Tribolium castaneum: one gene and its partners. The protein of the gene in region 1 purifies or fractionates together with the protein of each later gene. This does not show direct contact. Links are inferred from orthologs where the notes say so. Each region holds a gene or a part of one and is shown in the gene's direction. Other genes may lie near its edges.

Region 1 (8,160 bases):
AGATATAACTATTATTATCTGTTTCAAAACTATAAAAACGCCAACGTCGCATTTTGCCGAATTATTTTTTTTAAAATAAGATTGATAAAATTGTAAAATAGTTATTAATGATTAGATATCTTATTGAAAGTATTAATTACTTTAGCTATTATTTTTTTGAAGTGCATGTATAGTTTATAACAGCTAATATTGAAATGATTGGGAAGTTCAATACCTGAGGAAATTTTTGCTCTTTATTGGTAAATTTTAAATAATTCAATAAAATATTGAAAACATGAATTGAATATTGAGCAATATTTTAGCGGAAAGCAATCCGCCTTATGACTGACCGTTCTCAGCTTTACAAATTATTTTCATTTTAATAAAATTGCTAATATGGGACCATGATTACTATGAGATTTTTTGAAAAGTAGTCTCAAATTCAAAACTTGTTTTATTTTATCCACAACTGTATCTTGTTATAATTTGGCGGTTTTGTTCCACAAAATCAAGAAACCTTTGTCACTCAAAAAGAAACAATAACTTATTGCAAAAATTATTGGTAATTCCCAGTATACCTAATGGAAATGAAAAAAATTGTTTTGCTACAAAAAATATTTACTTAGGGGCGAATCCAGAAATTTATTTTGGGGGGACTTCCAAAAATTTTTAGACATGCTATTAAATGAAACTTTACGGTCGGTATGTTAAAATATTTAATGAATTTGAAAAAAAAAGCTCAAAACATTTTTTATACAAAAAATGATACAATTCAATTTTCTTTTTTTTTAATGAAAACACCTTATATTTTATGCATTTTTAGATATACATGGTTGTTAATCAGAATGTTGTTTTTTACTATTAAATTTTGAAATACTTGTCAAAAAAACATTTTAAAAATATAAAAAATACAACAGAATATGTTTACCTAAGGGTGTTTAAGTAAGTTTGAATAATAAAAATTTCTGGACATAAAAAGAACTTTTAAACATAAAATACTTCCTTGTTTTGGATTTCGAGAATCTTCCTATAATATTTTCTTAAGTAATAATAATTTATTTATTAGTAATAAATAGTTAATAAATGTGCATTATAATGACTTCTAATGTTATTAATTTAAAAAAAAAAATTGTTCATTACACTTTATATTTATTAAAATTTATAAAAACAATGAAAACTGAAGTTTTGGGGCCATACCCTCTAGGATGCCTCTGGATCCGTCCTTATTTGAACTCTTTAATTTTGTGAGTTCGTGAGTTCTGCATTTACTTTTTTTGAATACATTAATTAAGTTCATGTGGTCTCATTCTACGAATTTTTTTGTAGCCACTTACGATACGTGTTTTAAAATCGTATGTGCATGTCTATTGTCTATTTTATTTTATATTATTTCTGTTTTAGATATCTATCTAAAATAATGCTGCTTGCATTGAAGATGAAGTATTTTTGAAATTCTTGATTTTTGAAATCTATAAGTAGGGGTCATTTGTTTTTTTAATAACACATACATTTTTCCAATTTTAATTTTTAACTTCCACGTATATCTTTTTTTAGTCCTGTCGTTATTGTGATTATTTTCTTTTTCAATATCCTAGTGAAGATCCTTATTACTATACCTCACAGATATTACATTTATGTTTAAAAGTACTTTTAAAACCAAAATAAGTTTCATGTAGGTTCTATGTCACTGTTGAAAAAACTGAAAGAATATTTGTCATGTTTAATGTTTTTTTTGTTTTAAAGCTACATGGCTTCGTAAAATGTTTTATAAATTAATTTTCTTATTGTATACTATTTCTTCGATAAATTATTCAATTAGAAATGCACGTAATTCAGATATATTGCCTTAATCTCAAAGCCGTATTGATCAGGAGTGGCGTTGAAATCTGACGATGTTTGTTGATTTTAGGTGATAAACTGGGAGACGACGTTGCAAATACCAAAGCAAGCGAATCTTTCCAAGGAAAGTACTGACTTGATATTAAAATTGTGTTGTAGTGCGGACAAACGCTTAGGTAAAAATGCTAGTGAAGTGAAGTCGCATCCGTTCTTCAAAGACATCGATTTCGACCGAGGTTTGCGTCGCCAGCCGGCCCCGCACATACCTCGAATCGAATACCCCACAGATACGTCAAATTTCGATCCGATCGATCCCGACAAGTTACGAAATTCGGCTTCGATCGATTCGAGCACTTCCGACGAACTGACCGATAGTTCTAAGCCGTTTCACGGCTTTTTCGAATTCACATTCAGGCGTTTTTTCGATGACGGAGGTGGTCCCGCTTTTAATAAAATCAGTCTAGACGATAATGACAATCAAGGCTCTGTGTATGTGTAATCTTCTTGGAAATGTTCCGAGATGGACCCTCGGAACATGGATTTTCGCTCGGTTTTTGCTCTTGCCAACTGGAATTTGTACGCAAGATTGTGTTTTTGCTCTCGTGTCTGGTTAGTTCAAATAAGGACTCCTAGGCCTTATTTAATGATGGTTTAGCGCCGCTTTCGTTACGGCACGCTTTTGAAGTGTGGCGTAACGGGGGCGGGGCTTGTTTTGCAACCAAAGCCTTAAAATAGCTGCCTTGTTCTACTTTTTATAGGAAAGCTCAAATTTTCATACTTTGGTAAGAACTGAAAGATTCTATAGTACAATTCGCTATTTGAATTAAAAAATTGTATAGCGTGTAAATTATTTAAAAATTGAAGAAATGGTGCTAATTCTTATTCATACGTTAAATGTGATATCCACTGAATGTCTATAAAAATTATTTCTGACTTGTTGGAGTGGTTGTTCTATTGCATTTATGTCGAGCTTTAGAGGCCTGGAACGCGAAGAAAGACCTCGATAGGCGGGGCTAGTGCGCAGTGGCGTAGCAATTAACTATTTAAATTGATACTTCCTACTATTCGTCCATATATTCAGTCGTAGCAATACAATAGGTACAAAAAGTTACATCTTGTTCTATTACACAAGAATAAAAAATTGTTATTTATTGTTTTGTAACAAAATAAATTCATAGATTGTTTGCGCACCCCCACCATCGCGGTCATTCTGTCATTTCACGGTCTCTACGGCGTCAACTGGCATTTAATTAAAAACAATTGGAATCGTTGAGGTGTTGTCACTGTGACTGAGCAGTTTTGAAATGTTTTTATGGACAGTCAGTTGTATGCAACAATAAATTATTATTGTATATTATGTACAATACTCTAGGGATTTGTAAATATAATTATATCGTCGAAGTGTAATGGTCGGTCTAAAGGTACTAACTAACCACTTGCGGGGTTTTTGTTAAGTTGTTAGATGGAAAAATTGTGAATTAGTTGAAGAGAGCAAGGAAAATTAACAAGCACTGCCTTTTTTAACTAAAAAGAATAAAAGCATTATTTAATAATCTTGCAGTAAATCAAAATAGTTTTGTAAGAGCATAATGTTTAATTTTTTTCTCAGAAAAAAAATGCTGTGTTACAATTAGTTTTAATGATACGCTCATAACTTAATGCTTAGTTAAATATTTATTACATTTCCCCTCATTCTAAAATTAATTTGTAACACCCTCCTAGCTTAAGTATGGATTAATTTAGCATATAATTTTTCTAGTCTATTGGAATTTTTTTATCGTTTAAATATATTATTGATTTAAATGTTGTTTATAGGTCATAATGTTGTTCCTTAATTATGCAAGAAAATAGTAAAAGCGTATGCACTTAGGAAATTATGATTTGAGTGCCTACATAGTGTAAATGTGTGTAAATAATTATATATTTTTGGAAACATCCCGTCTCTGATTTCCAACCTTGGGCTACGCCACTGCGTTGATGGGCAATGTGGCAGTGCACGCGCATGCGCAAACAATCGAAAATCTGACAGTTCAAAGGGGCGTTCTAATCTGCGAACAATAAAAGAAGAGTGGGTCGCCATTTTGTTCGCTATAAAATCGTAAAGATCTTACCAAAGTTATATAAAACATCCCTGACCGAAACCAAAACTTATCGTTTGAAATGTGTCTGTGATATAAACAGTGGAGTGTAAATAGCGGTATATTTGTGATATGCACTAATTGTCTGTGTGTTTTTATTTTGGTACATTTTGGAGAGGGTGCAGATCAGCTGAAGGGACAGAAAATGAGTTCGAAGGACGATGAATACGATTATTTGTTCAAAGGTAAGCGTCCAATTGGGGCCCTTGTTATCGCACTTTGACGTTGCGGACCTTGGAGGTAATTGACACTTGACGTAAATTTTGTTCCCGTGTGACAAGTCAGCAATGTCAGAGGTCAACTTTTCCAAGTCCTTACTCAAAAATAATCAATTAGAGCGGCATCAGGGGCCCCCTTCATGCCCCCTGTGCACCGGTCACGAACAACTTCAATTAGAATAATCAATGATTTTGGCTTTTAAACCGTACCTGACAGAACGGTTCAAAATGCAAATGTTTACGTGCCGCTTCCTTTGCAGTTGTCCTCATTGGAGACTCCGGGGTAGGAAAAAGCAATCTGTTGTCTAGATTTACTAGGAATGAATTTAATTTGGAATCAAAATCGACAATAGGAGTGGAATTCGCGACTCGTAGCATGCAGGTGAGTCGAACACCAATAACACAAAAGGTTACTGCATCTTATTTAGTCACGACTCGAATTTCCGTAAATATCATAGTCCCACTTGCTCAAATCTCTTACTCATATTATCAGATTCTGACAAATGCGGGTGGGTGTAAGTGGATGCATAAACAACTCAAGAGACATTATTTTCCGCTCTTTCAGTCTTGTGAAAGACGTCATAATCAGCTGGCGAAGATATCCCATTATCTTAATGCACCGTTGTGTCATTGTTGACCCACTGGGTTGTGAAAGTTGACATCCCATGGTACACATATCAGTCACCTAATTTGCATTATATTTTTTTAAATCGGAAATCTGGGTTAAGTAAGTGTTGTAGAAACGCAAAATTGAGCATAATATCCAGAACAGCTCATTTTAACACTGAACTTATGTGCGAACTATGAAAGATTACAACTGTTTTTGCTACACTCATTACAGCAACAATGAAAATGTTGCCACTAATGAGTATGACAAAGGAAAGTCGATCCCGTGTCTGTGATTCATCCATTTTTTTATCGTTGCCAATTGGGTAACAAAATTTTGATATTATCTAAAGTGCTATTCGGAAAACATGCCCCAGTTTGGCTACAATTTAATGGTAATTTGTGCTCCTATTCGTTTCTGTACATGACGTCACGCTTGATTAAGTTAATGTGGAAAATTTAATAAAGAAATTGGTGATTTTTTTCGTTCACCAGAAATACGTAATTTAAGGTGATGGGTGAAATATCGTTCGTGTTCCAGACGTAATTTCGTAATTAAATGATTCCATACAACATTCAACTTTTCGTGAATATTTTTAACCATTATTGATTAATATTTCACTGTGATTGCTTTCCTGAACGTTGAAGACTTCCTCGTTTTACAAAAAACAGTTTGTTTTGTGAACCATTTATCACATAATTTTATTATTGATTAATGTAGCCTGTTTGAAGACACAAATATAATGGTTAGTAAATAGGCAGTGGTAGATTAAAACTGTCTAGCAGAAGTTCAGACTACCCAAAACATGTTTTCGAACATTTATTTACAAGGAAATAAAATGACCCTCCACTTGTCATGAGAAATAAATTTGCGGCTCAGCCCTAAGGATATTGACCGCCATCAAACGTCAACATACAAACAGTTTTGGAACTCTTGTAAACGAAATATAGTGCAATCGATTTTTTAAGAGTTTTGCGAGGTTGAACCATAACTTGACTCTAAATAAAAAATACACTTCACTGACCATCTATTTTGTTTAAAACTTTAATAAGGTTTTGTCTCTTCAGAGTTTTCTTTATTATAAAAACATGTATCAACAAAAAAACAATCGTTTCGCATACGTTGTATGAAAATAAAAGTTTGCTCTTGTCGATCTTTTATTTATTATTCAATAATTAAATGGGTGGAGTTACACTGAATGATCTAACATTTAAGAATCTTTGAATAAAAAATTATGGAAAACCGTATGTGTTTATTTATTTGCTTGATGTCATTAAGTTTGAATTGAAATTTGTTGCATATACACTTACTAAGTGAAAAAAAAGAATAATTGAAGAAATTTTAATGTATTATCGCTATTAAAGATTCTTCAGAAGCTTTTACTCTTCTTATGAACCATCATCTAAGTTGTTAAAGATAATTTACGATATAATTAACTTATACGTTATTTTATGTGAGAAAAAATATTTAAACTCGTATCACCTTTATTTTATCCTATCAACTGACAGGAAACAGAAAAAAATGTCTGTAACATCTAATAATTCAATTCTCAGAGATGCATCAGTTTTTCCTCGGTTGTTGAGTTTGTTACATAATGATTTTGTGTAACATTGAATACCTATTAAAAAAGTGAAGTATAACTATTAAAGCTTTCTTAACGACATTTATTGTTAAGTTATAAAAAACTGTCAATTACGGTAAAAATGTGGCGTCGCGTTATTTTATTTTACTTTAAAAATTATTATTAATTACATAAGTTTTTATCAAAACCTTCGTAAGTATATCGGGCATAGTATGTTTGCTTATTACAGTTAGTTGCAATAAAATAGGAAAATTGAATTCTCTTTAGATTGTAACAATTTATCTTTATCACATTCATACAATTTTTCTGCAATGTTGCAGTTATATCTTTATTTTTTATCTTATAAGGAGACTATTGGCCCACATAATTTGATGCCTTCGTCAAATTTATCAAATTGTGATTAATTTGTGTTTGTTTGGAATCATCTGTCACATCGCAAGTAAGAAAAATATAATATTAGATAACATTTTACAAGAAAAGTAAAAACATTATTTCAATTATTGTGAGTAATAAAGCAAGAATTACGATGAATTTAAATTTTGACCTTGCTGAAGATGATTATTCTGAGGTGCTAGAATTTATGAGTATTGTATTCGGCGTCAGGTATATCGAACAAGAGAGTATTTTGATACATTAATAATAAATGCAGCCGAATTCCTTTCAAGATTATAATTTACATTAATGTTAAAAAATGCAAATTCGCATTACATAATAGAAATTAAATTGTAACTGATTCTTTGTGATTTTTATTTCAGCCTGCATTGTCTATCTTCCAGTTTTTTTGTTAGGTTTCAAGTTTTCTAATTCCGTCTTGAGTTTTTTACTATTGTGCTGTTTATATCTTTAAGGCCGACAACTTGTATTTTTTTGATAAAATGCCTTTAGATGAGGTTAAATTTGGGCTTGGGTCTTCTTACTGAGCTCCATTTTGTTGAATTGTGCTAACGGAATGGTTTTTGGATTAAACCACCGTTTAGAAATAATAAATAAATACGTGCGTGCGAATCGTTATATACTTTTCGTATCATAATATACTATTATATACTAATACACTATTATTTAACGAGTTTAAGTGTAAATTGGACGTTTTATTTCACGAGTAGATAATCAAACCACGAGTTAAAACGAGTGGTTTATCATTCACGAGGTGAAATACATGACCCGATTCACACGAAAAGGAGTTGAATACAACATTTTATTTTTCAAATTAGACTTAAGATCGTTAAAAATTGCTTTAAATCTGTTAAAAAAAATCTGACGTTTCGTATTCAGAAATGCCAAACAGTTGTCAAAACTTTCTTACACAGGAGAAAAACCGAAAGCACTTGTTTAAAATATGAAAATATAAAAAATGTGACTTTTTTTTTCAAAAAATTAAACTTTTTTTAATGATTTTTCGCTTGTAATTTTGTGCCAACTGACACTTGTATGCTTAAGTTGTTACTTTTAAAGAGATCGAATTTGTTCTATTTGTTGTTAAATTTTAAATGCTTTAAACACCGTTTATTGCAACTTGTGAAACGTATTATTTTAAAATTATCAACTGTTGTGACAATGATACTTAAGCACAATTTATTTCAATGAATTTTTGCAATAGCACCTTGACAAAACCGCCCGACTATGCATAATTTTCCATATTCGTAACTGTTGATGGTGGCATTTTTACGAGTGTCGGAAACGACCGACATGAATCTAATTTTAACCCATGTCTTGAAAGATGTAAGCAAACTGTGGCTGTTTGCAGGTCGATGGTAAAACAATAAAGGCACAAATCTGGGATACGGCAGGACAGGAAAG
Region 2 (8,185 bases), on another chromosome or scaffold:
CACCACGCCGATAATAAATTCAATTCAGCCAAAAAGAGATGGACATGTACAAAGAACTTTATTTTAAATTTAGAACTTTGAAGACTTTAACAAAATGATGGTCCACTCCACAGCAAAGAAACAGTATGAACAAACAGTACAAAACCAAGCGTTTCTGTTTAAACTATTCATTTCCTGAAAAAATAATTAGTGCGTCTTCTTAAAAAACGGTAAAAAGATAATTGTTTTTCAAGATTAAAACTAAAGGATATTTCAAAATTTTACAAAAAATGTATTAAATATTTAAGACTTAAGCACTTAAGACCAAATGAGTTATAGTTGTGCTTAATAAATTTGATCGATTTTTGCTGAAACTAGAATAATACGAAGTCTGCTGAAAATCGTTTCAGCAAATAAATTTTGTTCTGAATTCAAAAAAAAATAGTACAAAAAAATTAGGGAAAAAATAAAAGCAAACTATAAAAAACCTTCTTAGAGAAAAGCTTGGTAAGCTTTGCATAATAGATATTATAATATACATAGTATTGAATAACTTGCTCTATAATTTTGTAGAAACAACAAACAATTAACACATAAATGATTTTATAATAAGAATCAGTCCATTCTAATAAATTTAATGTTATTAATACAATTTTTTGCCTTTTGATTTAACTTTGGCGTTTTGCAGTAAGATGTGACATTTCTGAAAAGCCCTAAAAATTATATAACAGAATTCCCTTTTTAAACCGTAACTTTTCCCAGAAATAAAATTAGACAAGGTCGTCACGAAACTTTAAATATTTAATGCGAGAAGACAGATTCAAAAAAATTTGGTGTAATAATAAATTTTATTTTATTTTCATTAAACCTTAAGCTAATTTTTTTTTAATAAAACAACTTTTTTATAAATAATTCACCCACACACGTAATTTTCCCCAAAAACGTCACGCGAATCAAATTAGCTTAGCTTAGTTTATACAGTTTGGACGTGCCTTAAACTACGGATATATCTTTTTTATCTTATTAATTTATAATGTGTTAAATTTTGTCTATATTTTAGTGAATTGTAATCAAATAGCTACTAACAGAGACAGTGTTGGAATAAAATCTTACTCTGCTTTACTTTATAAACACGACATTGTAAGTCATTTGCATGTTCATGTTGAAAAAGTAGGCAACTTCCATTAACGTCGTCGTTAGTAACAATAAAAATATTTAATTTTTCTATTCTAATTTAAATTTTACACAAAAGACGGTCGGAACACTCGACTCAAGTGTCATTAAAAATACATCAAAGGGTCAACTTGAAAAATTCCCAACACGAAATATTTACAATGAAAAACGTCTGTAACAAAAAAATGCAAACATGCGTCCATGAATTTATAAAATGTGGACATAAAATTGATTTTTTCAATTTCTCACTCAAATACTAAATTATAATCCTTTCAAACATCTAATACTTATTTTGGACACTTCTGTAATTTATTTATTTGATTAAATAAATTCTAAACAAGACTACAAAAAACAATAATTGTAATTCATTTCAAAACGAGAATTTAAATTAATTTTTACGTTATCTTTGTTACCTGGTGCCATCTATTGATTATCTGTTCAAAGTTATTCAGCCCTTGATAGTTTTCTATTCCAATACAATTTAAAAAATATTTATAAAACATAAAACAACTTAGTTCCACAATTTTTTATACATGTTAATAGCGTATATGTTATATAAAATTTACGAAATATTAAATATTTTTTCATAATTATTTACAATAAGCACAAAAATTATGATCAAAAATTACTGAAACAACAATTATTGATGAAACCGAAACCGTATTTCATGTTTATGGGGCGTATCAACATTTCTTAAACTTTCAAATAAAAATAAACATGTTGCTAATGTGCATACATATTTTTTAGCCCAGTTTAAGGTAGGTAGTACATAAAAACTAACAAACCATAAAGTATTATACTTCTGATTAATTTCCACACTTTCCCCCTATTTTTTAATGATTTATTGACAAAATATTTTTTCCAATATAGTCTAATTTAGTAAACAATAAACATAACTTTTAAGTCAGTGAACTTTTCTAATCACTACATTGCTTAAAAAGAAAACACACCAACAATACACCTGTTAAGATATTCAAATATTCAGTTGCGGTTTAAAGCATCATTAGCTGCTCTGATGTGTGAGTTACAAACAAATGATCTTATAAACCTCGTAAGGTACAATTAACTAAAAAAACTAAATTCAAGGTGAAACTCGGAAAAAGAGTATATTTTGATCAAATTCCACATCAACGGCGTGAAATAGTGCTGTTTAATTAACACGAATTTTGCCCAAACAGAAAGTAGCGTTTAATTGTTTTAATTTTTCCAATGGTTTTCATTAAAAGTGAAAAGAACGACTACAATAAATTACAAATCATGATGAAAATTTATAAGAGTAATTTTCTCTTGACATTTCTTAAGAGTACGAGCAAAAAGTTTTATCGATTAAGCCATAAATTTTATTGGCACAAAAATGGCAACCAGCACGAAAGCACATTTCCATGTCAATGTTCAGCAACAAACAATTGTGAAAAATATTAAAAATAAATTGGAACAGCATTAATGTCAATTGCAAGCAATTTAGCTGGTGATAATAACTCCAGTTAAGTATTTAATTTTCTCGTAGGCAATAATTTTCCACGCAATCTTTTTATTTCCACAGTTACTTTTATTTGCTGTAATTTTATTTACTATATTTAAAACAAGGACATCTGTAATTATGAAGCCCGGAAACACCTTCAGTGCGGAAAACGTACACTTTTATAGGTAGTACCATACTGTACCTAGTGGAACACGGACTGAGTCGCTTCCGCGCGCTCAAAATATTATTTTCAATCGCGATGATTCTTTTTTATACCAATAACTCTTCAGTGACTGTTAAATTGTTAAACAAAGACTCAAAAAATGGATAATAATGTTTAGTGAACAAAACAAGGTGTTGTCAGTGAAAGATTTAATGACAGTTTTTCGGTTGTGTGATCCCGACAGGACTGGCAGGATTAAAATAGATTATTTACAAGAACTTGCTCACAGTTTCACACCACAGACGGACCACCGTCAGGTATTAGCAAAACATAAAAAATCATTTATTTATTTTCACAACCAGGTTGAAGAAGTCAAAATATTTTTTAATTGTAGATAGTGACCTTGATCTAGAGTAATTATTTAAGTCTAGTTGTCTTAGTAATTTCTGTGGCACGACAGTAATTATAAAAAAATGCTTTAATACGTTTTTGATTGCTCTTTTACTTTGTTAAATAATGAAAAAATCTTCAACGTTCTTCGAAAAGAGAAATTCAAATTGAGTGCCTGTAAGCAAATCAGTGATTCACGATGTGTGCTTACTTCATATTACATTAACATCCGGTGAACTACAGAACAGTTTCCAGTTGGTAGAATTTACGGAATGTAAACCAATAAACATAGGGTAGGGGTTCAACATTTCGATAATGAGCGAGATAGTAGTTTTGTCACAGGAAATTGCGATATGTTCGAATATTTTATGAACTTGTTGCCGTTTCCTACGTGCAAAATTCGAATCAATGCTTCAGTGATTTACCGAAAATCACAAAAAACAACACACTTGAGAAATGTGATTATTGGTAGTTTAGCCATTGCACAATCAATTTCTCAATCATGTTATATAAGTAAGACAGTACATTGTCGCAGGAAATAAACAATATTCTTGATGAGCTGGATCCAAACGGATATGGAACGCTGTCGTTCAAGGAATTTTGTTCCGGTGTTCGTGCCATACGACGCCGTCAGAAAATTCAAGAAAGAAAGTATTCCTTGAGAAAACTCAAAGGTAAGTAAACGTTATTATGCGATAATTTATATCAATTTCTACTCACCAGTCAGAAATGACGGTGGAAGTACGGATATGCATAAGAAATCAGGACGGGTCGGCACCATCCGTTATTAACTATAATTAATTACTATTGATTTGAAGAAGCAAACGTGCATTTACTTTGAAAGTCACTTAGGCGATGCAATTTCAAAAGTAGATTGTTCTAAATAAATGGAGGAATTTTTATTTTAATAAAAAAACAAGTAAACCAAGAAATGTACGCAAACCAAAGGTTTCTTCATATTTTGTTCGCACCTCTAACTTGGATTATTATAAAATTTCATCTTGCATAAAGCTAAACAAATTTTTCTCATAAAATCAAAATCATCTCAATATATTAGGTAGGTAATTTTATTATTGTTGATAAAAATCTCACTAAAATAATTGTAACAATTAGTACTTAAATCAAATATTCATGTTCCAGTGATGGATGAAAAGTACAAATTTGTTTAATTGTATTGCTTTCTTTACTTTCCTCTATGTGGTGTAGGTATTATAGATATAATTTGCACACAAACCAAATACGTGTTCAATTGTTATTTTTTTTAGATTCCGTAAGTGGAATTAGTAATCAGTAATAACTAAATGAATGTATCAATGTATTATTGTTTATTATATCATGAAAATAAGCAACAATCGTAGATTGTGTAGACAACCAATAATACACAAAAGTATGAGCGTAGGACAATATTTAACAGAATAATCACAGTACAAAAATGAAAGTAAAACTACTAGGTATAGTTTTCAAACCGAATTAGTGCAGATTGACTAAATAATAAATCACTAAATAATGCTGTTGGTAACAGAAGATGATTAGCCTGCAGGATACAGTCTACTCTTGCCAATTCATACGATATTCCGCAAAAAATACAAATCGCAACTAAAATATAGTTCAAATAAAGGAAAATAACATTAAAAAATCTGAAGGCAAACACAAATGCAACCGAACTTGTCACCCTTCACGGGTCAGATTTCACCCGGAGGGCTTTTGAGTGGTTGCTATTTTCAGTCGAGAGTGACCCTTATTTCCATTACAACGGACGGATGTCGATGTCGTTATATGATACTTAATTTATATAACACTTGTAGCAACTTAAGGACGCACTACACTAAGGATTTCCGTTTGCTATGCTTGAGAAAACCCATGAGAAACTTTAAAATTTGTAAAGCCAAAGTTAACAGCTTCAAGTAATAATCGTAGGTATGTGAAAAAACAAGTAACATTACATTTACACGTGATGTGACTCAGAAGTGATTATAGTATTGTGATGCATGAAAATACTAGTAATTTACAAGCATCATAAACCTAACTACAAAGTGGTTTCCTCCAAAAATTAAGGAACTAATTTAATAAAATTATTCACGATTTTATCAATCGAAACGAAAGTTTGTATACATAATTTTGGGAAAGGTGGAGCAATGACCTCCTGCGATCACATACATCACACAAACAAGCAGAAAAAACTGCTGTTATGATCATTATTTAAATTACCTAAATTTTTTTTCGTAATTAGACGATTTTACAACCATAAATCTGAACGTCTTTTTTCTTTTCTCGTAACATTATTGTTTATCTATTAAATAAATTTAAACCATAAAGTAAACCATTTGAATACAAAAGTCTCTTTTATTGTTTATTAGCACAGTAATCTGATTTTTTTTAATAACGTGTACTGATCTAATTCTAAAAAAATATTTTGTAAATTGTTTTAGATGTATAACTTATTGGAATACTATTAGACTATTGCAAATTTTGTGTTAGTTTTAAAGATTTTTTCTAAGTATAAAACAAAATTTCATATTCAAAAGTTGTTGCGATTAAACAAGTAATTAAATTAAAAATGTGAAGGAAATTTTTATCTTTATTTAATAACAATTTGTCGAGATAATTTGTTCTCTTTCATGTCATAACTATTGTTGTTTCACTATTTTTTATTATTACTATATTATTAATTTTCAGTATGTGTATTCGCTACTCCATTCACCGAATTGTTTAGTCGTGGTTGTGAATTACGACACAATAATTAATTACAACAAAATTTATTATAGTTTTACGAATTTTTAATTGTAAGCATGTAGAGCAAAAAAGTTTCAAATATTCACTTTTTCTTTGTTTCCATCCAATTATCGTAAAACCCCAGTGTATAGGTATTTAAATCCATCTGCAAACTTATTTCGTGGTATCCATAAAAGTGCTTGTTACTTATGGCTGTAGTCGGATGATGAAATAAATCACAAAAATAAAAATTTATATAAATAATATGGTAGGATATAAATAGAGTTTTTAAACGTACATTTGTTTATTATGACTAATACGTAATAATAATAATAATAATAATAATAATAATAATAATAATAATAATAATAATAATAATAATAATAATAATAATAATAATTTTTCCGGCGCATCCACCAAAAGTAAACAGCCCCACTTTATTATTTGCAACTATCTAATAAACCAATTATATTTTTTCTTTATTTCATAAGTCCAAGTACCCTAAATAAACAATGCAGTTTTATTTGTATAACCGGTAAAGGGTGTTCACTTTTGGTGGATGCGCCGAAAAAATTATTATTATTATTATTATTATTATTATTATTATATTAATAATAATTTAATTAATAATAATTAATAGATAGATAGCATTTTGATTCTTTAATGCACTTATTTGTTCTAAGTCTCAATACATATCATTTCATATCAGTTCACAAATTAAAATCAAAAGTTTTGTGATAAAAATCTTATCAGTTCACACAAACACGATCTTCCAAATATTTGTCCACCCACACAACCGTTTGAGTGTCGCTGATTGTTCAAACACAGGTGAAACACTCTGTGCGCAAGCTCCCCATCATCACCGTCAAATTCTTCCCACTTCAGATTCTTCAGTCCGTTTCCACATAGCAGCAGGTGAGTGTATGTGGACACCGACGAACTTGTATTTCCTTTATTGTTATCCACTCTATCAATAAACATTTAAACAAAACTGCTCTTCAAACCGTGGAATGTTCTTGTGGACTAGTGTAGTGAAGTTAAAATAGCGCAAACCTGGGTTTACCTTGGATGTTAGAACCACCTAACGTGCATTACACCTGTTTTTTATTTACAAACAGGTAAGATTGCTAGGTAAAACCGAGTTCTTTCCTTCAGTGGATACGTTGTTTGGTTATCCAAGTGTTACCTAATTTGTAGAGGCTTTGATTTTTTTTTTATTATAGGCTTTTGCGTAGGTGTTAAGTTAATGCATACAATAGAAGCAACGTACGCGCAGATATTAAGATTCATTGGCTTAAATTACAATTGCCTTGCTCCCCTATAATTTAATTTAATCACTTCAATAATAATTAAGGCGTCACATCTTCATGAATTTGTAAAAGGTGGTTTACATACTCATGGGTTTTGGCAATTTCACTTAAATAGTTTAAGAAGAAAGTTTCACCCATTCTGCACAATAGACGACAGAACAATCCATTTCGCGATTATTAATTAACGTTACTAAACCATTACTCACCTACATACAATTTTAATAAACGGTGTATTATGTTTGTTATATGGCCTGTTGTAAGGCAATTTCGGAATGCAGTACTCATTTCAAGCTTTGTTAAAAGTTAGTTGATTTTCTTTTTTTCGGGGAAAGTGGGATGGTTGAAACAATGGTGATGACTAACTTTGAAAAAATCCACTCGATTTTGGGTGAAATAACACTGTAGTCCCACCTTAATTGAGGCATTAAAAGCGAAAAAGACTGAAGGGTTGGACGTGAGCCATAAAATGTGCAATTACGTGAATGTGGCTTGAGGAATTCATTTCGTTTCCAAGAATATTTCACTGCCATCACGACACGAGACACACATCAGATTATGTATTTGGAGAGATTTTAGAGTTAGAATGTCATGACATTAAAATCTCCGCTGTTATTTGGAACAGCTGAGGAAAATTTACATAATGAACATTTTTTTAGTTTGTCCTTTATCTTAAAGCTTGAAGAATTTTACAGTTGTTTTGGGAAGACATTTATTGAACTAGATAATATTTCCTGTTTTGGGATAAATCATTAACATCATTAGCAGTAGGAAATGAGATTTTAACACTATGCCATGACCATCCTTTTTCTTTGTTTGAAAACGGATGATCCATTACAGTACAGTTACGTGTGATTAGGTCAGAAATTTTTAATTGATTCTTTACTTTGTAAATTGAGTTGATTACGTTTTACTTTTGCTTTGTGGTTTTAGACGTTAAAAGTTAAACAATGTTTATACCTGTTTGAAATGTCATCGCTAACCTTGAGATGTGTTATG
Region 3 (8,074 bases), on another chromosome or scaffold:
AACAAATTGTCTGATGCATCCGATTATACCGTAAAAACTGGTTAAAAAATTACAGTTAAGTGGGAGATCGCTTCAGTCGTGTAAAGAAGCACGCAAAGCGCGGTAACGAAACTGAAAATGGGAATGCATCCGCCACTTTATAATTACAAAACAACTCGAAAAATTACACTTATTAGTGCATACAGTTAACATTTGTTTTTAGCGGATGTGAAGCACACGCTGTAATCAGTGCAATTATTGCAACTGCTTCTGTTTAACGTTAAGACGGAAAATTATCTCTTTAGCGTGTCCGCAATTTCGCTGATTAATTAGTTGGAGAGATTTGTCCAAATATGAAAGGAAATCGTTAAAACAAACTCGCATCTTCCCAAAATTGCCCAAGGCACAATACCAAATTAAAAACTGGATATGCTTACCGTTACATTGGCTTATCGGACCCCACAAACGCTATTAATTTTTTTAACAAAAAACCATTAGCATAAAATCACACACCTGATGAGAATTTTTTTAATGTATAATTTTCTGTCATAAATATACTAACAATTATTATTAGGATGTAAAATCTTACCACTGGACGAGTACATTTGGCGCTTTATTAAATACAGGATTGAATCCTAAAAATTTAGCTAATTTCCTGAAAAAGATCACACGACAAAACCGTTGAAAATCACCCAAAATCTTACGAGATTACTTCAAGAGCACCCTAAAAAAACTTCAAAATACCTGAAATAGCTTTTTATTTTTCTTAGTCCTGTTATTAAGGCGCCAAATATCCTGGTCCAGAAGTAACATTTACACCCTACTTTTATTTGTCAGTATAACAAATCAATTTGCGATTATAATAGGTTTGAATGGTAATAAAATCCGCGTGGATAGATGAATGCTAACAATTTGTTACGAGTTCAACGGCTCTATACTTTTTTGCACTAGTGAATGAAAGAATTATTATAATAACAATCGCCAGATTCTTGAGTGCTAAAATTATAATTGTGTGGACTAATGGGTACCGCTAATTAGAGAATTGTACCGTATTTACACGGTTTCTGCGGACTAAGACTTATAATTAACTGATTAAAGATAATCAAAAATCGAAGATGGGTATGGAATTGAAACGCCTGAGGCTGGTTATTATTAAAATAATTTTGATTTATTACTTTAATATTCGACCCGGCTACGTGGATGGCATATGATTAACGTTTCGTGAAGAGGTAATTTAGAAATTATAGGCCTAAACTTTAGCATGACACTTAAAAAATGCAAAATTTTCCTGGGGCTAGATTTTTTCAAAATAACCAGTTTCTAATGTATTCATTCGTATGAAGATTTTTCTAACGGAATGTTCGCCAATTTTTGGTAGCTTTAATCTATGCATAGAAAAAAAAACAACAGTGCTACTTGTGGAAGCATTTTGACATTTTTCCCACATATTGATAAGCTAAAGCTGCTCAAGTCAAATGAGGGGCATTTAAGCATTTCTCATGCCCAATAATTTAAAAAAATAAGAGATTAATATTAAAAGTCAAAGTTTAAGATTATCGGAAGATTAATAAATAAATGCTAATTGGCCCTCCGGTGAGAACAAGGATAAAAAATTAGGCATACGCCATCGACCTTTGACCTGTCAGAAAATTTCCGTTAAAACATGACACGACTTCTACGAACTTTAGCGGTGAAGAGTGAAAAAACGTTACTTTGTTTTATAGAAAAAAATCAAGAGAGGGATCTACATTTAAATTTTCAGTCATGTATAATGCAAATGAGTAGACATTTCGATCTTGAAATCAAAAATTAACCATATTTTAGTGTAGCATTGTACAAGTAGGAGTACAGTCAACTATTTTACAAAATACACGTACCGCAAAAAAAGGAATCAGTTTTTAATTATTTGAAATGCAAAAACGACAAAAATTAACTATCATTTTTATAAAGATCAATTAATTCTATTAAAATTCGGTTTTGGTACTCATTTCAGGAACAAAATAAAGTTGCATCTATTTCATTAAAAAAATAGATGAATAAGATAATAAGAGAGCTCAGTATATTTAACAGACGTTGAGGTTCAATCTCAGCGTTTAATTTAGAAAAAAAAATTTTGTATACAGAAAAAAAACGTTTACAGAGAAGGCAGGTCGTATTTCGTATTCCACTGTATTTCGTAGTACTATACAGGTCTCAGAAAAAAAGTTTTTTGTTAAAATAGCTCAAAATGAGGCTGCAACATAATGTGTGAAAGAAACTTTAAAATAAATAAAGACAATCATGTAGATTAGACGAATTCACATCCAATAAAAGAAGTAACTGTGAGATTCTTGAAATGTGTGCAAGTGAGAATACGACATTAGAGTGAGAGAACATTTTTGAATCTGATTAGTCCTGATGTAGTCAAAAAGTAAATATTCCTGATTTTCAACTTTCTTAAACAATAAAACAGCACATTTTCATACTCTGTAATTAAAAAATTAAACAATCTTCGGAAATTCATCGCAGCTCATCATTAAATTCCATAAATAATAATATTTTTCATTGGAAACTCCGGTGAAGTAAGTGCCGCCCTCTACCATCACCTGCGAGCACGTCTGGCTCGACTCCGGTAGCATCCACCCGTACCTAACCGGAATTCATTCCTAGTGATCCCCAGAGGGCGCTAGCAATTCTTTTGAGCGCCAAATCGCCAAATCCATACTTTTACACATGACTCCTAGTGATCGAAATAAGCCACGCAGTGATTAGTGCGCATGGTGCGCCGTGTAGGTGCAGGTTGTGTGTTTTACTACCATTATAATACACGAGAGGGTTTTCTATTTGTTGGCGGGTTGTGCTGGCTCCGGATTATTCGTTTGATTACTTTTTTTTTGATGATTTATGAACAAGATCAGTGAAAACGGTGCAAAATGACTACCTTGGAGCTATATACAAAGGTAAAAATTTCGTGTCGCATTTATCTTTGTTAAAAAATCGCGAAAAACCTTGCAGGTAACATGATAAGGAGTTTTTACAGACGCGCGAGTCAGAAACGTGGCCCAAAACCGGTCCTTTAAATGCCATGAAACCTATTATTGTTACGCGATCAAGTGCTATAATACTAGAATCTATTGTTCCTTTTAGAATCCTGAATGAAGAGTTACTACTGAGTTTGTTGTCCTAGTCCTTTGGATCGATTGTTACCATTACAATAAATATGTTTGAGGATATTTCCAAAAGATAGACAGGAATGATAAGAGTGATAAGAAACATTACTATTTCAACCTTTGTTAATTATTCTTTTCGCGAAAAATATCGCTAACATATTGCTGCTTTTGTTTTGCATTCAACAAAAATCGCGAATTGTTTTTGATTCAAACGCGGGTTATTAGAAACGTGGCTCAACGTGGTCTTTTAAATGCCATAAAAATTATTACAGAATAGAATTATTACAATCTTTTCTTTTTTAGAATCTTTAGTCAGAAGTTACTACTGAGTTTGTTGTCCTAGTCCTTTGGATCGATGTTGCTAGTCTAATAATAACCAACCTAACAATATTTAAAATCACAAAAGGGAGAAAATCAGATGTAGTTATTTGTTGTAATTATTTATTAATTGCTGTTACTTATTACTTTGCATTACTTGGAAATTTTGAAACACAATAAATCAGAATGAATGTGTATTTAAAGCTTAAACGTTGACAAAATTTCTCTTTGTTTTCTAACTGATAAAAATTAATACTAATAAATTTCTAACTATACTTCACAGTAATGTAAAATTGGCATAGATTACTTTGCAATTTATTTTTTTGAAAATAAAATGGTGACACTACAGCAAGATGCGCTGTTTCTTAAATAGACTTCTGTTTGTTTAACAAATTAGTTACTTTTTGATAAAATATAAATAAAGTAAACGATAACGATGTAAAATAATTAAACTACCTTTTGAAGCTCATAAAAAGACTTCACTTTAATACACCTGATAAACTTGAAACTATAAATTAACCCTATTCCAAGGTAACCATTTTTTCAAATTACCCACGACCATTGATGTTGCCAGCAATAAAGTGAGAGTGATCTGAGATCTTGGAATTTTCTCATGCATGCAGTGAATGGTAACGTTTCATTAATTAATTGGTTCCAATAATCTAATTCTACTTAGTTACAAAAACTGGCATATTGGCCTCATTGCTCCAATTAAACCTAAATCAATAATTTGATCATCGTTAGTTATAATTACGTCTTCTTCACATCGTAAACACTCTTTTAACGCTCCGAAAAATTAATTAAACTTTAATTCGATTTTTTATCACCAATTTAATGGATCTAGAGACATTTCGGTGAAGTTTATTATTGGTTACTGCAAAAATAAATCAAAATTATGCTATGCGATTAGACAAAAATTAAGTGGATTTGAATATTTGTGTCAGAGTGGGTTGATTTCCGCAGTGCTTATGATAATGTGATAAATTAAATCGTTTTCCCATAGTCAGAAGATACCCAAATTTTAGTTTCTAATTTGAATAATCAGAAACATATTCATGTAGTGGAAACAATAACGGATACGGCGTATTATGAAAATTAATTGGTGCCATAAATTTAGGTAATAATCATTGAAAAAACAATCCAAACAATTTCGCTTGAATGGACATATGATATTTAGGCGTGGGATGCAAATACACCAATTTTTTTTTATTTACTAAAGTAACATTACGCCAATTCATAAATTAGAGATTAAGTTACGATTAACCTTGGTTTAGCATAAAAGGTGTTACCGATTTTCTATTGATTTATTATGAAAATACGTAACAAAAATTAATTCTGCTCCTGTTACAAAAAACAAAAGATCATAAATTTATTGTTTCCTGTGTGTGGTATGCCACAAATGTTGCCGTTGCCATTTTCGTCTCACTGAACATGCAAATGAAGCTTTTAATTTTTTCCCGACTGCACTATATAACAATCCAATTAACCAAACTGAATCTGAGAGTGAAAGTACGACCTATTACTTCCAACAACTGGTTATATTGTTATTTTGAACAGTTGGGAGTGCGGCGACTTTTATAAAAATCATGATCGAAAGTTGAACACTGTAAAAATCACTTCCATGTACGGAACTTTTTTATTTTTGCAATATCTATTTTGCTCGATAGCAAATTTAAGGCTTGGTCACACTTTTGTAGTTATCTCTGGTAAACATTTTTTTACTTTCATACATTTCCAATGACGAAAGCACACATTTCGTTACAATACCGTTATGTCCTCAAACTTGGCCGTCTAAAGTTCAAACAAATTCCGTAAAACGTAATCTCGTTTGTTTTTCCAATTTAGCATTCAAGAACATTGAATTATTGTCGCTCGAACGGAACATTTTCATGCAATTTGCGGCGGAATAACGAAATGTAGGGCTTGACAGTGGCGATTGATAGCATCCGTTTCGATGTCAAAGACCCATTTTTGCCATGATTCATTCGATAATCATTCCTTCATAAACATTTATCTTGTCTAGAGCTTATCATCACATTATTGTGTTAATTTCAGGGTGCCAAGGTATGGATACCTCACCCTGAAAAAGTATGGGAAGGCGCTGAACTTGAAGAAGACTACAAAACGAACAAAAAGTCACTTGAAGTAGTAACAGAAAACAACGAAAAGAAAACCCTTACGATCAAATCAGAATCGGATTTACCCTGTCTGAGGAACCCTTCAATTTTAGTCGGGGAAAATGACCTTACATCCCTCTCCTACTTACACGAGCCCGCCGTACTTTACAATTTACAAGTACGGTTCTGCCAAAATCGATACATTTACACCTATTGTGGGATTGTTTTGGTGGCAATTAATCCCTACGATGATCTTCCTATTTATGGTGAGTTGTTAAAACCGTTATGTTACGAGGAAAAGTGCTAATTGCCTGACACAAATATGCATGAATGGATTTTTTCTGTCCGTGAATACGTAATGAATTTATTAATTAAATGGAATTTAGCGAATCTGTGCCAGTATTTTTGCAAACCTACAAAAACAGTTTCTGTTTACTACAAAAATAAATATACCGTGATTCTTTGTTGATTTTAACGGCTACTTTAAAATAAACAATGTTGCATACACAATTTTATTATTAATTTATTTTCATTGAAAATTGACCCACATAACTGAAGGCATATTGACCGAGTGTTTGTTGATATTGATTTTTACGTCTGCAATGTGGGGGTTTGTTTGGACGTTATATTACAACAACTAATTAAAACAAACAATGCTTTTTCTATTTGCGAGCTTATGAAACAGTGACTACAAGAAGGCCTCTCACGTCTTAAGTGACATTCTAATAAGACCGTTTCCTTTGTTTTGAAGGAAAAACCCAAACAATTTACAAAGTTGCGAGTCTTCAGAGAAACCGCAAGAATACTACAAACTACAATTCAGAGCATGACTTATTTTGTCGCTTCAAATTCACGCAATTTGAAAAAATAACTGATTAAAATTTAAATCGAAAAACCTACGTGTACCTAGTACGAGTTGTATTTATTCGTCCTACTATTAAAACCCAAAAGGCTAAAGGTAAAATCAGATACGCTGTCAGTGAGTAAAAGAATTATTATTAAAAGTAAACTGGCTGCACCCACGTGAACTAAAATCAAGGTTGGGAAATTAAGTAGAATAAAAAACAGCGTACTTACCGTACTAATTAAAATAAACAATTTTTTATAACGATCCATGCCGATGCATGTGAAAACGATATTAAATTGCGAGCTTTGAACTAATTTTTTCACATTTTTACTATTTCTACCAACCTAACTGCCAAAAGTTAAAAAAAGTCGTCGACTTTCTCCATTTTAAACTATCTATTAGGTGACAAAAATTCGCCCTGTAAAAATCCACCGCTTCAAAATAAATTATTAGCAATTAAAATTAAAAGAAATAAAATGTCACAAAAACGTCTAGACTCTGTAATTTGGTCCATTGTATTCATAGGGATTTTACTTTCTATATCGCGAATCTTAAAATGTTACGAAAAATTTGAAAGTTGAGACTCGTGAAACATTCACTCGATGAATTGTGGGAAACAGGAATTAAAACTTTAAGGTGTACCAGAGGCATTATATCTGTTTTTCTTGTATCTTTTGATTATTCCTATTTACAATTAGATTGGTATAATTTAGGACTACACCAACGGTCAAATGCTGGTGGGAACCAAAATTAGTTACTCACATCCTGTAATCATTTTGCAGTAATAGACTTTAATACCGGTTTTATAACGAAATTAAAATTGTCAAGGTATTAGCGAACGCTCATTGTTTATATCATGCTATTATCACCGCGATAACACCTACAATTTGCGATAAATAATATGACTCATGTTGTGCAAACACGAGAGTAAGTAAATAACCGCAAAATTAGAAAAATCGTGCATATCGTAAGACGATATTTAATCTTTTAGCTACACATAAAAATAATGGAACAGCACACACCGCAACGATATTAAAACAACGTTAGTAATAATTTGCTACAAAATTTTGTTTGTTAAACAGAACTAGTAAAAACCATGAGAGATTGATGGCATTTTCGATGCCTTTCAAGGATAGTAAAATTATAGCCTGGCATATGCCATGCATAACTTGTATTGCATGTGCACAAATTTATGCAAGTAATCCATACTATATTGTATCATACCCACTTATTTCTTCCAACAAGCAATGATTTAAAAATGAAAATAAACGAGACATGGTTGTACAAGAAAGAATAATTTATTAAATCGTCTTGGCTCGCACTATTGTTGCAGTTTACTTTATTTCCTTTACTTTTTTATTTAAATTAGAAATAAAATAATGTATGCAGAAGCACGGCCGTATATGTCGTTAATTTTTATTGCTAAGATGATTAATTATTTTAAAAAGGTCACAAGTTTGATTTAAATTTAAAAAAGCGGAACCAAAGGCCACAACTCTCTCTTCAGACTGTTTTACAAGCAGGATCATTAAAGGTCTAAGACTCTATGGCAGTTCATCAACTCCACCTTTGACCTGTTAATTTTTGAAATACTTGTAATCACACTTTGTCTCGTACAAGAGTCAAGACAACTTTTCGCACAAGAAATTTAAAGCCATTTCACG

What was found.
Region 2: the proteins of Rab11 (region 1) and nuf purify together in Drosophila melanogaster (affinity purification with western blotting; 5 studies listed by BioGRID, with this or other methods). This does not show direct contact. The link is inferred for Tribolium castaneum from reciprocal best matches to the Drosophila melanogaster genes Rab11 and nuf.
Region 3: the proteins of Rab11 (region 1) and didum purify together in Drosophila melanogaster (affinity purification with western blotting; 4 studies listed by BioGRID, with this or other methods). This does not show direct contact. The link is inferred for Tribolium castaneum from reciprocal best matches to the Drosophila melanogaster genes Rab11 and didum.

What each region holds. Positions count from the first base shown.
Region 1 is NC_087397.1:10,553,713-10,561,872, reverse strand, and holds the start of Rab11 (ras-related protein Rab-11A), read left to right. Parts: upstream 1-3,865; 5' UTR 3,866-4,101; coding exon 4,102-4,141; intron 4,142-4,434; coding exon 4,435-4,556; intron 4,557-8,107; coding exon 8,108-8,160. Other genes in the region: wts (serine/threonine-protein kinase Warts), read left to right, coding at 1,889-2,317.
Region 2 is NC_087394.1:30,313,991-30,322,175, reverse strand, and holds the start of nuf (rab11 family-interacting protein 4A), read left to right. Parts: upstream 1-2,833; 5' UTR 2,834-2,947; coding exon 2,948-3,094; intron 3,095-3,479; exon of another isoform or gene 3,480-3,581; intron 3,582-3,702; coding exon 3,703-3,841; intron 3,842-6,762; exon of another isoform or gene 6,763-6,997; intron 6,998-8,185.
Region 3 is NC_087396.1:13,113,371-13,121,444, forward strand, and holds the start of didum (unconventional myosin-Va), read left to right. Parts: upstream 1-2,722; 5' UTR 2,723-2,891; coding exon 2,892-2,918; intron 2,919-5,501; coding exon 5,502-5,829; intron 5,830-8,074.